Styela clava: one gene and its partner. The protein of the gene in region 2 interacts with the protein of the main gene of each other region in a pairwise test. Links are inferred from orthologs where the notes say so. Each region holds a gene or a part of one and is shown on either strand. Other genes may lie near its edges.

Region 1 (8,380 bases), on a different chromosome or scaffold from region 2:
GGGTCTTACTACTTACTGAATACAGCGTGAAACACCGCAAAGAGCGCAAAACAGCGCAAAATAGCGCGAAACAGCGCAAAAGAGAGGAAAACAGCGCGAAACAGAAGGAAACCAGCGCAAAACAGAGGGAAACAGCGCAAAACAGGAGACGCAGTCATTACCACCTCCAGTATTATATATACGCTTTGGTCATTACCACCTCCTGCCACGAAAGAACCACGGCGCCTCTCGCCATGGTTTTATGGCGCTATTTCCGGCATATTTACAAGGTTATGTACCGGATTATAGGTCATCATGCGAAATTTTATCTACCTTTTTGGTACTCCAGAAGTATGTGCAGCAATATGTCGCACAACCTGAATCCGCTACACACACACACACACACACATACTATTTTTAGGTTGTGCGCCATCTTGGTGCACATACTTCTGGAGGTCGCTTTTCACCTAACCCTAACCCTAAAGCCAACCATATCCATATGGAAAATGTTCTGAATTATGGTACCCAAAATGTGTCACCAGCAGGGGCAGACCTGCCATTACAGCATTACTAGCTACATACGTTGGTTTGTGTTTTTAATTTGCTGCCGTGGTACTCCAACTCAAAACAAGGTGCCCCGAACTCATTGCAAAATTTTTTTCTGCTTTACACTGTTTCCCTCTGTTTTGCGCTCTTTCGCGCTGTTTCCCTCTGTTTTGCGGTCTTTCGCGCTGTTTCCACACTGTTTTGCGCTGTTTCCCTCTGTTTTGCGCTGTTTCGCGCTGTTTTGCGCTCTTTGCGGTGTTTCGCGCTGTATTCAGTAAGTAGTAAGACCGGTGTTTAAGGCTGTAAGGTGTTGATTAGGTCGTCATACAATTCATCGAATTTTAGTATATTTAGTAATATAATATTATGTAGAATAAAAGTAAAAAATTGTTTTATTGTACGTGCTATCCAAACGGAAACATACATGTGTACGGGACGGACTAAAAGTAGGCACTTGCAAATTAGGCACTTTTTTAGGCACTCATTTAGGCACTTTGGAAAAAAGTAAAAAGGGCGTAATACCTTGTAATAACATAATTAATTAGTTAAATATGGTCAAATTAAATGTTGAAAACGCAAATTGCAACGGGCAAACTCAATAGCAATATTTAAAACGCAGTATTAAAGGCAGTCGCACGCGCTTGGTCACCACATAAGCTAGGCACTTCGAAAAATAAATAAAATGGCATATTCACTAATAAAAGAAAGAGAAATAAAAATATTACCCACACTGATTAGCCTGAGTAAATATCTAAGAGATGCACTTGAGTCCAGTACTGGAGTTTAGAAATAATAAATTGTTACCGGTAGGCACTTTTTTAGGCACTTATTTAGGCACATCGAAAAAAAGGTGAAATGGACGTAGTAACTCCTAGAAAGATAATGAATTAGTTCAAAATATTTAAATTAAATGTTGAACGCGAAAATTGCAACAGTTAAACCCAATACTGTAATGATTTTTAAAACGTAGTACTAAAGGGAGACGCACGCGCTCTGTCACCACATATGCTAGGCACATATTTAGGCACTTCGAAAAATAAAGAAACTGGCAATTATCACTATTAAAAGACAGGGAAATAAAAATATCACCCACACTGATTAGCCTGGGTAAATATCCAACAGATGCACTTGAGTCTAGTACTGGAATATAGAAATAATAAATTGTTACCGGTAGGCACTTATCTAGGCACATCGAAAAAAAAGGTGAAATGGACGTAATAGCTTTTAAAAAGATAATTAATTAGTTAAAAATTGTCAAATTAAATGTATAGCACGCAAATTGCAATGGGTGAACCGAATAACAATATTTAAAACGTAGTATTAAAAGGAGTCACACGCGCTCGGTCACCACATATGCTAGGCACATATTTAGGCACTTTAAAAAAAGAAGAAAATCGGAATTATCACCAATAAAAGACAGAGTATCAAAAATTTTACCCACACTGATTAGCCAGGGTAAATATCCAATAGATGCACTTGAGTCTAGTACTGGAATTTAGGAATAATAAATTGATACCGGTAGGCACTTATTTAGGCACTCCGAAAAAAAGGTGAAATGGACGTAGTAACTCCTAGAAAGATAATGAATTAGTTCAAAATATTTAAATTAAATGTTGAACGCGAAAATTGCAACAGTTAAACCCAATAACGATTTTAAAACGTAGTATTGAAGGGAGACGCACGCGCTCTGTCACCACGTATGCTAGGCACATATTTAGGCACTTCGAAAAATAAAGAAAATGGCAATTATCACTAATAAAAGACAGAGAAATAAACATATTACCCACACTGATTAGCCTGGGCAAATATCCAATAGATGCACTTGAGTCTAGTACTGGAATTCAGGAATAATAAATTGTTACCGATGGGCACTTCGAAAAAAAGGTGAAATGGACGTAGTAACTCCTAAAAAGATAATGAATTAGTTCAAACTATTTAAATTGAATGTTGAACGCGGAAATTGCAACAGGTAAACCTAATAACGATTTTTAAAACATAGTATTAAAGGGAGACGCACGCGCTCTGTCACCACATATGCTAGGCACATATTTAGACACTTCGAAATATAAAGAAAATGGTAATTATCATGAATAAAAATACAGAAAATGAAAATATTAGTCAAAATTATTAGCCTATTTGAATATCCGATGAATGCACTTGAGTCTAGTAGTGATATTTGAGAATAATAAATTGTTACCGTTAGGCACTTTTTAGTCACTTGTTTAGACACTTCTAAAAATGCGTAAAATGGGCGTAATAACTTTTAAAATGATAATGAATTAGTTTAAAATATTCAAATTAAAAAATTAATATGCAAATTGCAACAAGTAAACCCAATGATATCGGTTTTTATATTCTGCATATTTGAAAATATATTAATTCTTTACTTTGTAATTTTGTTTTTGATAAATTAAAATATAAGACATCCCTCGAAAAAAAGCCCTAGTGGTAATTTTAGGAAGAAATTTGAAATAAGACACTGTCTTAATTTCGGGGAAACACGGTAAAAGGTGTCTACCGGTAACAATTTATTATTCTCAAATACCACTACTAGACTCAAGTGCATCTATTGGATATTCACCCAGTTCCAGGCTAATCATTTTGACTAATATTTTTATTTTATTTTTTTTTATTGGTGATTATTCCCATTTTTTTTTCGATGTGCCTAGCATATGTGGTGACAGAGCGCGTGCGTCTCCCCTTAGTACTAAGTTTTAAAAATCATTATTGGGTTTAACTGTTGCAATTTTCGCGTTCAACATTTGATTTAAATATTTTGAACTAATTCATTATCTTTCTAGGAGTTACTACGTCCATTTCAACTTTTTTTCGATGTGCCTAAATAAGTGCCTATCGGTAACAATTTATTATTTCTAAATTCCAGTACTAGACTCGAGTGCATCTATTGGATATTTGCCCAGGCTAATCAGTGTGGGTAATATTTTTATTTCTCTGTCTTCTATTGGTGATAATTCCGATTTTCTTCTTTTTTCGAAGTGCCTAAATATGTGCCTAGCATATGTGGTGACCGAGCGCGTGTGACTCCTTTTAATACTACGTTTTTAATATTGTTATTCGGTTCACCCATTGCAATTTGCGTGTTCAATATTTAATTTGACAATTTTCAACTAATTAATTATCATTTTAAAAGTTATTACGCCCATTTCAACTTTTTTTCGATGTGCCTAAATAAGTGCCTAAAAAGTGCCTACCGGTAACAATTTATTATTTCTAAATTCCAGTACTAGACTCAAGTGCATCTATTGGATATTTACCCAGGCTAATCAGTGTGGGTAATATTTTTATTTCTCTGTCTTTTATTAGTGATAATTGCCATTTTCTTTTTTTTTCGAAGTGCCCAAATATGTGCCTAGCATACGTGGTGACAGAGCGCGTGTGTCTCCTTTTATTACTACGTTTTAAAAATCGTTATTGGATTTAACTGTTGCAATTTTCGCGTTCAACATTTAATTTAAATATTTTGAACTAATTCATTACCTTTTTAGGAGTTACTACGTCCATTTCACCTCTTTTCCGAAGTGCCTAAATAAGTGCCTACCGGTAACAATTTATTATTTCTAAATTCCAGTACTAGACTCAAGTGCATCTATTGGATGTTTACCCAGGCTAATCAGTGTGGGTAATATGTTTATGTCTCTGTCTTTTATTAGTGATAATTGCCATTTTCTTTTTTTTCGAAGTGCCTAAATATGTGCCTAGCATATGTGGTGACCAAGCGCGTGCGACTGCCTTTAATACTACGTTTTAAATATTGTTATTGAGTTTGCCCGTTGCAATTTGCGTTTTCAACATTTAATTTGACCATTTTTAACTAATTAATTATGTTTTTAAAAGGTATTACGCCCTTTTTACTTTTTTTCCAAAGTGCCTGAAAAAGTGCCTAATTTGCAAGTGCCTACTTTTAGTCCGTCCCCCCATGTGTACCTACTACCTACCGAGCAGTGGAGTAAACGCCTACGTACCATGCGTTGCGCCGAGAAAAACAAGTGAAAACATCAACATACAGGGATGCGAGGTGACGCTCATGAGCTTATCAGTCACTTTCGTGGGATTCCAGTATGATACGATACTGAAGAAAAAATTGTGTTTATTGCAAAAACAAAATATGTATATTACACAACATGATATGAAATTGGAAAGTTTACATCTAAAACATTGATTAAACAATGCGCGGTCGTATTTTGTTTTAAGAAAATCTGGCAACTCAGTTGAGGAAACACAGCCCGGTGAATTTGAAAATCGAAACAAGAAGTCTCGGGAAATGATGAAGATTGTGGTTGAGTCGTATCTTTTTGTGCGACGGTCTTATGATATTTCTTTATCAGCTCTTCATTGAGATTTTCTGATGTACTTAAAAACCTCAAAATCGTTGTCATTTAGGTCATGGTAGTTATAACTACGTTAGTACGGCGGAACCAGTAACTTATCGTTAGTCAGTCACGGCACCGTACCGGTACCGGTATTTCTGTATTTAAGCAGTTAAACTGGGAAAGTTTTATTATTTGTCAACCAGGAAAAAACAGTCATGATATAATAATAATGATGAAGCAATAAGAATAACGTTTCTTTAGCCAGAGTCATGATTGGAAATCACTTACCGTTATTGCTGTAGCCTATATTGCATGCAAAAAATAATTATTGACAAAATATTCAATAATAGTCAAAATTCAAAAATTTTCTCCAGACAATAAAAGTTAACAAGCTCATAAATATTACTTATTGTTTTTCAATAAGATTTGTTGATCTGTGATCTTCATGAAAATATTAGTACAAGGGATAGCAATATAACTAATTTTGAATATATCCGATTCGTTTTGGACATTTCTAATTACCCAAATGCAATCAAAGTAAAATATAATTATAGTTGTATACTGAACTGTACTAGACCCTATTTATCTACTGGTCATGTTTTGGTAGTTATTAATTATATTGTTGAAAATATCTCACAAATATAAACCATCACCGTTTTGCATCTAGACAACTAGTATTCATCATAGAAAATAGGGCCATGGATGGACGAGGAATGGATGTCGACCTTGCATCAAATGTCAAGTCATTGGCAATGGGAATCACACAATATCAATATCATAAATCAGAAAGTAATCTGTCTCATGTACTTCGCCATACTGAGGTTTTGCTCGGGGCATTAAACATGCATTCATCACACCAGCTTTTCAATTCAAGAAGTGTTCTTGGTTCCGAATGTATCGCATCAATGGTAAAGTTGATATCAGATTCTACGACGGATTCCCATTTATTAAGTAAAATAGTTGAGCTACTCAATACAATTTCAAAAGTCACAGATGTATGCTCTCATCTCCAAGAATCATTCAGCTTGGCTTCTGTGCTGTGTTTGTATATTGTACAACACTGTCAATTAGAACATTGTAGTCACATAATGCCCTCTGCTCTATTGCTTCTGGAAAAAGTTACATATGCCAGACCTATATCTTCTGGTATAAGTCATCTGAATCAATTATTAACATATATTTTACAAGAAATTGAAAAAGGAGAAAGTGATACTGGCCTTCCATGCTTGAGGGTTTTAAACAATCTAATTGTGAACAATATGTCAATACAGATTCAAACCAAAGCTCTTATGAATTCAAAAAGAACAAAGAATTTCATGTTGTTATTGAAGCATGGAGTATCTCAACAAAGTATTTTGTCACTTTCGATTCTAACGTGTATATTTTGGGGAGATGATATTGCCAAAAAACTATACAGATCTCAGAATTGGTTTAAGGCAATGAAATTAATTTTTTCCACTTTGAGTGGATATGTGAATTCAGATGCATTAACAGTAGCGGCTGATTTATGTACGGAACTTTTGAAACATGGAGAAATAGCTCAGCAACTTGCTATGTACGAAGAAGAAAATAGCTGCTCTACTAAGTTGTTTGATCATCTCAGTGAGGTACCGCGATCTTCATCAAAGATTCTTCAGGTTATTTGTGCTTTTTGTCACATAGGTTTGGTTCGATCAAGCATATGCCAGCGAATTTTAAAGGATGATATGCGTTGCTGGAAAATATTGTTAAACGTTGCTAGGGCTGAAAAACACGATCTATCAACATCATTGGAAAACTCACCATCACTTCTCGCTCTTGATTTGGTGAAAGAAATGTGTGAGGAAGTTGTAGAATCTGCAAATGAACCAATGAATGAGTGGACAAACTATCTATTTGCTACGTTAAATATCCACTTATCACAACCATTTCATAATGATCCTTCCCAGCTCAAGTTCTGTCTTCTTAAAATTTTAAAAAGTTTGCAAATTTTGCTTTGCCTATCATCTGAAGATGATGATTTACTATCAAAAGTTGGCAAGAATGTGAATTGTGATGTTTTAGAATCTGTACTTGAACATCAACTTACTCAAAATCTTACTGGAATTGTTACAACACAACCTGATTGGAGTGAAATCGGAGTTGATGTTGTTTTAACCACACTCGAGTTAATGCTCAAGGTGAAGCATGTTGTGCCAGGATTGGAAAAAGTAATGTATAAAACTTTACAAGAAATAAGAATGGTGCCATTTCTTGTTGCTGCTTTATCCAGTGGTAAAAGTAGTAAAGTTCAATGTGCTTTGCGCCTTCATCAAGAAGCTTCTTCTTTACCTGACTTTCCTTCAGTTTTACTCGGTGAAAGGATGGCTGAAGTCAATAATAAAAGAGAAAATTTTAACAGTGGTATTAGAATGCACAAGATTTCAGTACATGATGCATCAAAGGATTTAAAGACTGTGCAGTCTAATTTTGATCGACCTGATGCTATCTGGAATGATGTACATCGCACCAATGTTCTTGACAACATAAGCGTCGCTTCTGTTTCAAGTAGTTCTTCTTGTGAGGATAAAGAAAATCTTGATTCGCTAATTAACAAAATGCAGGGTAAATTGCAGGTTGATAAAAAACTGTCTGGAAGGACATCACAGATAGTGGAAATGTATGAACAGAAGATATCATCTCTCCAAACTAAAGAAAGCCACTTGCAGGATCTACTTGATGCTAAAGCTCTAGCACTTGCCCAGGCTGACCGGGTTATTGCTCAAAATAGATGTCAACGAATACAATCTGAAGAAGAATCAAGGAGATTGGCTCATATGCTGCAAGAATCTGAGATTAAATGTGAACACCTACTTTTGGAGATTCAAAGAGTGGAATCGAATCAGAAAGATGTTGAAAAAGAGCTCGAATCTACTGTGGAAGAAAACAAAAATTTGCAAAAAATAGCAGAACAATACGATAGCTTGCAAGCGGCGTTTAACGATAAAAAACATAGAATTGAAGTGCAGGAAAGAAATCTGGCTGCTCTTTCCCAAGAGTATGACACATTAAAAGAAATGCATGATATGTTCCAAAAACACAATGAAAAATTGAAACAACAGATGAATGAAGGGGTACATAGACTTGAAGAGTTGGAAGAAGAGAGGTTAAAACTTCTGAAAGATGCAGGGGACAAACAAATGCAAATTCACGAACTTGAAGGTCTTGTGATGGAGAGTGAGAAGGTTGCAAGACAACTTCTTGATGAGAAATCAGAGCAAGAAGTTTTAATCAAGAATTTGAAGTCGAATATACAAAACTTAGATGAGGAAGCAAAAAGTCAAAAGATAAAGCTTTCTTCTCTTGATCGAACTAAACAACAATTGGAACATCAATTGAAAGAACGTGGAAATGAAATTAAAAGACTTCATCAGAGAAATGATACACAAGAGAAAAAGGTTGTTTCTTTATATTCTGAAAAAGAAACTCTTACTCAAGAAATTTCAACCAAGGATGATGAAATTAAGAAACTTCATGAGAAGTTAACAGAACAGAAGCAGACTTTC
Region 2 (7,752 bases):
ACATTGCAGTTAACGCCAGAAAACGCATTAAAACATATACCAATTGTGACATAACAATAGAGCGATTTCTCTCTCCGAACTAGCAAAGTGTGTCGCAAAACAGTGGTAAATGGGCTGTCACCGTTAAAAAGAAAATTGTGATAATAATGAACATAATTTTTTTACCCATGAAAGCCGTGCTGACAAACCGGGACATTTGATTCAACCGGCCGGGACGCCGGGACAGCTTGTCAAAACCGGGACTGTCCCGGCTAAACCGGGACGTATGGTAAGCCTATAATGAGAGATCATCTTGATGCTGCAACTGTTTCGAAAGGGACATCTAAGGATATCCAAAATGATTTGCTCGACTCAATGTATAAAATTTATTTACAACATTTGGCTCTGGAAATTGAGAATTGCCAGTTCCTTTCGATTCAGTCTGACGAGACAACTGACATCACGTGCGTTTCCCAACTGGCTGTGATTTTTCGGTTTGTGAAAGATGGTAAACCTACCGAGAGATTTCACAGCTTTGTACCAATCGTTGATCGCACGGCTTGCGGGATATCGGCTGTACTGAAAGAAGTGTTACAGCCTTACAACGCGAAGTCAAAATTGATAGCTCAAACTTATGACGGCGCGGCAGTCATGAGTGGGTCGAAACATGGTGTTCAAGTTTATATAAAAGAAGATTTTCCTCATGCGCATTTTTTACATTGTTATGCACCCCATTTTAACCTCGTTATTAAAAATATGTGTCTTGATACCCCTCTCGTCCGTATATTTTTTGCAAATGTTTCGGGGTTTTCTTCATTTTTTTCCGTTTCGCCGAAGCGCTCTGACCTCCTTCGCCAGATATGTAGCCGCCGTCTCCCAGCTTGTGCACCAACACGTTGGAACTTCCAATCACGCGTGGTGCAGGGCGTGTCCGAAATTAGGTCTGAGCTCATTGAGTGTTTCAATGGCATTCAGAGCTCTCCGGTTTGGGACGAACGCTCTGTGAGGGAGGCGGCAGGTCTAAAGCGTCTGCTAGAAGATGGTGAGTTTTCATTTTTTCTCGCTTTTTTCTTCACAATATTCTATCACGTGGATGTATTATACGGCGCATTGCAGCCAAGGCTAACAGATGGAGCGTCTGTGCAGTCGTGTATTTCAGACTTCTGCGATGCTGTATCTGGTATCCGAGAAACAATAAAATACGACGACACATGGAGTGCTTCTTTACGCCGCGGGCAAACAACGCAGCGTTTGATTGTGTCTGCAAAGGAATGCTGTGACATTCTGGTGAATCAAATAGGCGATCGTCTGCGCACTGAACACCTTGCCGCGTTCTCTTTGATGAACCCCAAAAATTTTTCAAAATTTGCACGTCAATTTCCCATCCATTTGTTGGCTACTGTCTCCAAATTTTACCCCATGATAAACGTGGGTAAATTGGAAAATGAATTGCGATGTATATACACCAATCAAACTTTTTTGAACATCACATCAACTTGCGCGCTCTATGGGTTCCTCATAGATAACACTCTAGTAACTACCTTTGCGGCGTCTGCAAAATTTCTGGACATCATTTTGACGACGCCTATTTCTTCCGCCGACGCAGAGCGAACATTCAGCACGCTGAAGCGTATTAAAACGTATCTCAGAAACACAATGAAGCAAGATAGATTAAATTCCTTGGCTGTTTTATCCATTCACAGAGACGTTATTTCTGGGATGCATGACTTTAATCAGCGCGTTATTGAGCATTTTGCTTCCAAGAAACCGCGGCGTGTTGCATATATGTTCAAGCAGTAGAAGTCTAGCAGCATATATATCTATGAGTGAGCGACGCATGTTCTTATCTTTGCATTACCTTTCCTTTCTTCATAGTAACGTTTTAAACCTTATTTTAGGTTTTGTCTGCTTTCCCGAAGTTTCTGTTAATATGTCATTGTATTTATCTGGGTAAATATTGCCTTTCCGTTTGAAAGAGGTTTCAAAATAAACTATGTCTATATTTATTGATCCCTTGATTTGGACCGGTTTTGAAGACACTTTCTTATCGTTAAAAATTGTCGCTTTTGCCGATTGGTTGTTACCGATGGAATGGTTTTTATACTCATAAAATGATGGGAGAACTTACAGCGCTCATCCTGTCCCCGTAGATGGGGGTGACTTGGTCCAGCAGTAGCTTGCCCCGGTTGTCAAAATGACCACGCGCCGCCACTAGTAGTGGTATATATTTACGGTCTGACCAAGGTCTGGCTGACCAATGACATTGGGCTGACTCAAACTGTAAGCGTGGATGACTTACATTATTTGGCTTTATATTATTCGATTCCGAACCTGCAACGAAACTGATTGTAGTGTTGAAACAATTCATCTTTACTGCTTGTTATGCAAAACTGTATGTGTTGGCTATGCGCATTGCAAAAGACACTTCGAGAAAAAACATGTGAGAAGAGCCGTCGTATATCAACATTATAAATGTCCGAGATTCAAACTAGATGATCTAAGACAGAACAATATTAACAACCACGGGTTCACATGGAAATCACGCAGTGATTACTAAAACTGAACGACGCCTGGGAGTATGCAACAGAGGATCTGTCGATTTTCAATAATGATTCCATGAAAAAAAATGATAAAATAAAACTAAATCTGAACGAGGCCTGTGTGAATACACCAGACCTGACGATCACCCAAAATTCAATATTGAATCCATGAATCAACATCAAACCCAAAATAGAGATCAAGATGTGCTATTGGAAAAATGACCACTTGTCCAGTATGCAGAAAGGAAATGTGCTCAAGAAGGAAATGTGTCTGGAATGAGTCACAGTTCGTTGGAAATCATATTACAGTTTTTCAATCCATAGTTCTTGTTATTGAAAAAAACTGTAAGCTTATTTTAATTGCATCGAGTGCAAAACTTAACAGTTATTTCAGCCAACTTTCTCATTTACACAAAGTCGCTTTGAAAATTGTAATAGATACCTAACAAATTAGTAGTTGACGTAGCCAATTTTGTAGTAACATAACAGACATAGCAAGCATCGCCATTTTGGTAGAGACATAACCATTTTAGAATGGACATACCTTCTTTGTGAGGACATAGCAATTTCAGTACGAACATAGCCATTTTCACAGAGACATGGCCATTTTGGAAGTGACATAGCTTTTTTGAAATGGATATAGCCATTTAAGTAGGGCCATTGCCACTTTAGTTGGGACATAGTGGGCATCGGCATTTTTGTAGGGACATACTCATTTCAGTCCATTTTACTAGAATCATAGCGGGATCATTTTAGTAAGGACATAGCCATATTAATAAGGATTTGGCGGACATAGCCATTTTAGCAAGGACATAGCGGAAATCGCTACTTTGGTAGGGATATAGCCATTTTGGAAGGAACATAGCGAAATCGTGAATTTAGTAAGGATATAGCCATTTTAGTATAAACACAGGAAACATAGCCATTTAGGGTGTACATAGCTATTTTAGCGGAGACATATTGTATATATAGGCTTTGGTGTACATAGCCTTTTTAGCGGGGGCATGTGATTTCTACCGTAGTTGGTGAAAGAGTAATTTGGTAATACATTTTTGGTTTGTTTCTATGATCACATAGGCTATATCTTTAAGAGTATTTTTTAAACAATAACAATAATATTTGATTAGTCGTTTTTTGTATAATCATGGACCTTTCCCCGAGCATCGACTTTCTTGTTTACTTCGTGACATTGGCCAATCAGCAAGATGCAACAAGTAACGTAACAATGCCCGCTTTTTACATCCGCCCAGACACTTTTCTCACTCAGACAGATTTTCAGACGTGGTTGTGAACATCACCTCGTTTTCGCGTTTTCGAACTATATTCGTTAGTTTTCAATTGTGTTTTGGAAATTTAAATGTAAATCGGATAATCCAACGATCACTATGTATTTTTAAAAGTTTTAATTTATTCGCAGTAATGAAGAATTGGTGTAGAAATAGCTGTGATAGACTAGTCTAAAATTTCTTACTGGTACTTTTAAAAAACTGTTCATTGTACGCGATGAATTATATATAATAAGGGTTTTAAACAAATACCCCATTTACAGGGGCCAACTCGCGGAACTACTCCTAAAATGAGCCCCGCAAATTTTGCAATGGTTAAGAATAGGAAGAATTTTTCTGGTGTCAAAGGTCAAGAAAAGGTCTTAAATTCTTTTTTAATGTCCGGTTAAATACTGTCACCAGGGACGCCATTGAGCAGAAAGGGGATGTTTGGTTCCCGGCGCGAAATTTCTGAGCAGTTTAACACAACTCTGCAACTAGGCTAGTTCTTTTAATGCCGTATTCATGTCTTCTCGGAATGAAGTCCGATTTCTTGCATTCACTGAAGAAGGGAGAGAGAATGTTGAAGCAGCTCACAAAGTAAGTCAATATCGGTACCGCATTTTTGCATTTTGGACAGGATATTATTCACATAACGGTATTTATCCCGGGGATAGGAAACCCGAAAACACAGAAACACGGCCTAAATATGTTTATAGTTCAGTAGTCTGGATAATGCTGACGTATTGCAGGAATAGGGTTTTTTCTGAAAAATACAGAAATATAAATTATAATTCTCAATTGAATGCGAGAGCAGCTCAATAAATACAGAAATATGACTTTTCACAGCTTGCTTCTGAGAATAAACTTAAGTGTACATGGGTGACTGTAGAAGAAGTGAATAACTTGGAAGATTCTAAGGACAGCAAGGAAGAAATTGTGTATGTTGCTGATCCAATTGAAGGTAGGCCTAAGCCTGTGTCTGTATTTTAAAATAGAAGAATATTTTTTGTTTTACCTGTGACTGTTTGGAAAAATATGTAGACTATGTTATTTCCAGATTTTTTAATGTGATTTCGTTTTACGTGTTCTACCTTCTCATTTAAATTTGGAATTTTCAAAATTTGAGGCAGTAAGATTTAGTTGCTCTGCTGATTCTGTAATCAGTTTTTATTTGTTTGTTTTCATCAATTGTTTTGTTTATTATGCTGATTATGAAGTCAAAATTAACTTATACTTATGATTCCTAGATACATGTAAAGAACAGTACGTCACAGTTTACTGATTCCAGAAAATCCAATTAAAAGACAACAATTATAACAGTGAAGGCAAACCCGACCTTTACGAGACGGTTTAAGTCTCCATATCGCAACATATCGACACACCGGTACTGTGCAATATTCTAATAGGAAGCGCAGTCTAGAAATAGCACCATCCTCAGAAAAAAATTTTAACAGAGCATTCGATCGGAAGATTTTAGCAAAAACGCATTTGCCGTTGTGCAAGACATCCTCGTTTTAGAAACAAATAGAGTTTTTATTTCATTGAATCAAATGTTGGCCAATCTTAAAAATCGGGAAACTGTGATCTACTGACTTATGTTATATAACAGTCTTATGTAGTTCATTTATTTCAGTAATTGATAAACAAATAATTAATTTGCTCCTTAAATTGAACAGACTTATTGAGGGCACAGTGACTTTGGTTCATTATATGATCAAGCCATAATTATTATCTTTCTTCTCTCTCTCAAGAAGAAAAGAATCCTTTAAATAACTGAATATTTTCCAGGTCCTGAAGTTGGAGATGTTATTGACCATCTTGTGAATCTTAACTATCCTGTACTTGGTCCACAATGTGCATTGACTGTTCTAAAACATGGAATCAGACTTCAAGATGATTTGAAATATCCTCTTTATACTCTCACATTGCTTAATACAACAATTTGTTTCTCAAATATTCAAAATGAAGAAAGAGTATGTGTATTATTATTTGTAGTGAAGATACTATCGTTAACTTTTAAATATAAACATCTATATTCGGACCAATTTACTGGGGAAAGGGGTTGTTTTTAAATTTACATTTGAGAAAAAAAAAATTGTATACATAATGCTATAATGACAGATTTTTTACCATCGATTTTATTAGTGATAATTCATTGTAATATTTAATCATTATGCCTTCAAAGGAATCTTCTTAGTTATTTATATACTAATCATATTGCTATAAATTACAGAAGTCAGTATGCAAAGAGAATCTGCTATAAGCATAATAGGTCATTATTTGTGGAGCTTTGCCTCTGCTTTATTTACATTTTTTGGTATTTTGTTAGTGATCCACTTTGATTTTAATTTATTATTATCACTTTTATTTGAATTTTCTGATATAAATCAAATCAAGTTTCAGTATTTATCACTAATATCACCAGTACATTCCTTACATAAAAAGTGATTGCCTTTATAATGCTTTTGTGTAGATAGAACTTGTGCATCTAGTTGAACTTATGGGTGGAAAAGTGTCACGACCATTGCATTGTGATGTCACTCATCTTGTTGTTGGTGAAGTCGGTTCTGTCAAATATTTTACTGCAGCTTCAATAAATATTAAAATTATGACAAAGGAATGGATATATCATTTATGGAAGCATGGAATGTCTAGGTATGACAGAATTCGATCAGTGATAACAAATATACGCCTGTGATGTCTGTATAATTTATATGAAATTGATGATACCGTGTTTCCCCGATAATTAGACCTCGCCTGAAAATAAGACCTAACCTGGATTTTAGAAAATATTTTAAGATAATCTCTCCCTTTTTAAATAAGACTTAGTGGATAGCGCGAAATTTTTTTGACCTAGTCTTATCATATTTTGTATATTTGAAAATCTTGTAAATATCTACTTTATAATTTTGTTTTTGATAAATGAAAATAAAAACATCTTTCCAAAAGAAGCCCTAGTGTTATTTTCAGAAGAAAATTGAAATACAACCCTGTTTTAGTTTCGGGGAAACACTGTATATATTTATAAGTTCTTATCCAAGAATCAAAATTTGAGATGAACACTTTTTTTATAGTATTTATTTACAAAATAGGTCCATGAATACGTCCAATGTACATGATAAAATTTGGAATGAAGAGTAACATCCTTTTCACACAATGTGTTTATTCACCTTTTTACTCTGACCTAGGCTCTGAACGATCACCCAAGCTATGTAAGGAGGTTCTATAGTTTGGCGGAACCGGAATATTTCTAATTCCTCATTGTCAGCTCAATTTGTGACACCTTGGGTAAGGTGGTGCGCACAGGACTTGAACCCAAGATTTTAACTTTAACCAAGCTTTGACTTTTATCACTACATAGGAATGCCAGTATTTGATTTTTTAAAGTATTATTTTTGACTTGATATAAGATTCTAATATTGTAATATTTGGATTTGTCCAGTTTCATCTGATTTAATTATTTTTATTTAAGCTTAATAAATATTTTTTGTTTTAGGTATATTTGTGCTAAAGATGGCAAATGGGAAGAATTTTTGTGCCCGATATTTCTTGGATGTAAAGTTTGTATGACAGGTTTTGGAACAACTGAGAAAACCAGAGTTCAAAAATTAGTCACGAAGTTTGGTGGAGATTATAGTGGAGCAATGAAGTTGAACTATACAACTCATCTTATTGTCAATAAGCCAGAAGGTTGAATTATTCTTCATTTATATACAAAATCATATGTGCACTTTATTTCGGTGTGATTTGTTGAGTATAACCCAGGACAATGCATTTTTTCATCACAGAATATATACTTTAATTACCTATTTTAGTTTGGAAAATTGGAAATTATCTTAGTTCGGAAAATTGGAATAATATATTCACCTGAATGTATAATACATTTATTCTTTATTGATTACGAATTCTCTATATCAACAAGCACAAATGTTCAAAGAATGATGCTGTTTTTTTATTCTAGATCA

The links.
Region 1: the proteins of DNA topoisomerase 2-binding protein 1-like (region 2) and protein CIP2A homolog interact in a two-hybrid assay, tested with the Homo sapiens proteins (2 studies listed by BioGRID). The link is inferred for Styela clava from reciprocal best matches to the Homo sapiens genes TOPBP1 and CIP2A.

What each region holds. Positions count from the first base shown.
Region 1 is NC_135253.1:5,664,626-5,673,005, reverse strand, and holds the start of protein CIP2A homolog, read left to right. Parts: upstream 1-5,380; 5' UTR 5,381-5,554; coding exon 5,555-8,380.
Region 2 is NC_135257.1:5,646,041-5,653,792, reverse strand, and holds the start of DNA topoisomerase 2-binding protein 1-like, read left to right. Parts: upstream 1-4,228; 5' UTR 4,229-4,309; coding exon 4,310-4,384; intron 4,385-4,633; coding exon 4,634-4,748; intron 4,749-5,575; coding exon 5,576-5,760; intron 5,761-6,260; coding exon 6,261-6,442; intron 6,443-7,283; coding exon 7,284-7,477; intron 7,478-7,752. UniProt on the Homo sapiens protein: Scaffold protein that acts as a key protein-protein adapter in DNA replication and DNA repair. Composed of multiple BRCT domains, which specifically recognize and bind phosphorylated proteins, bringing proteins together into functional combinations.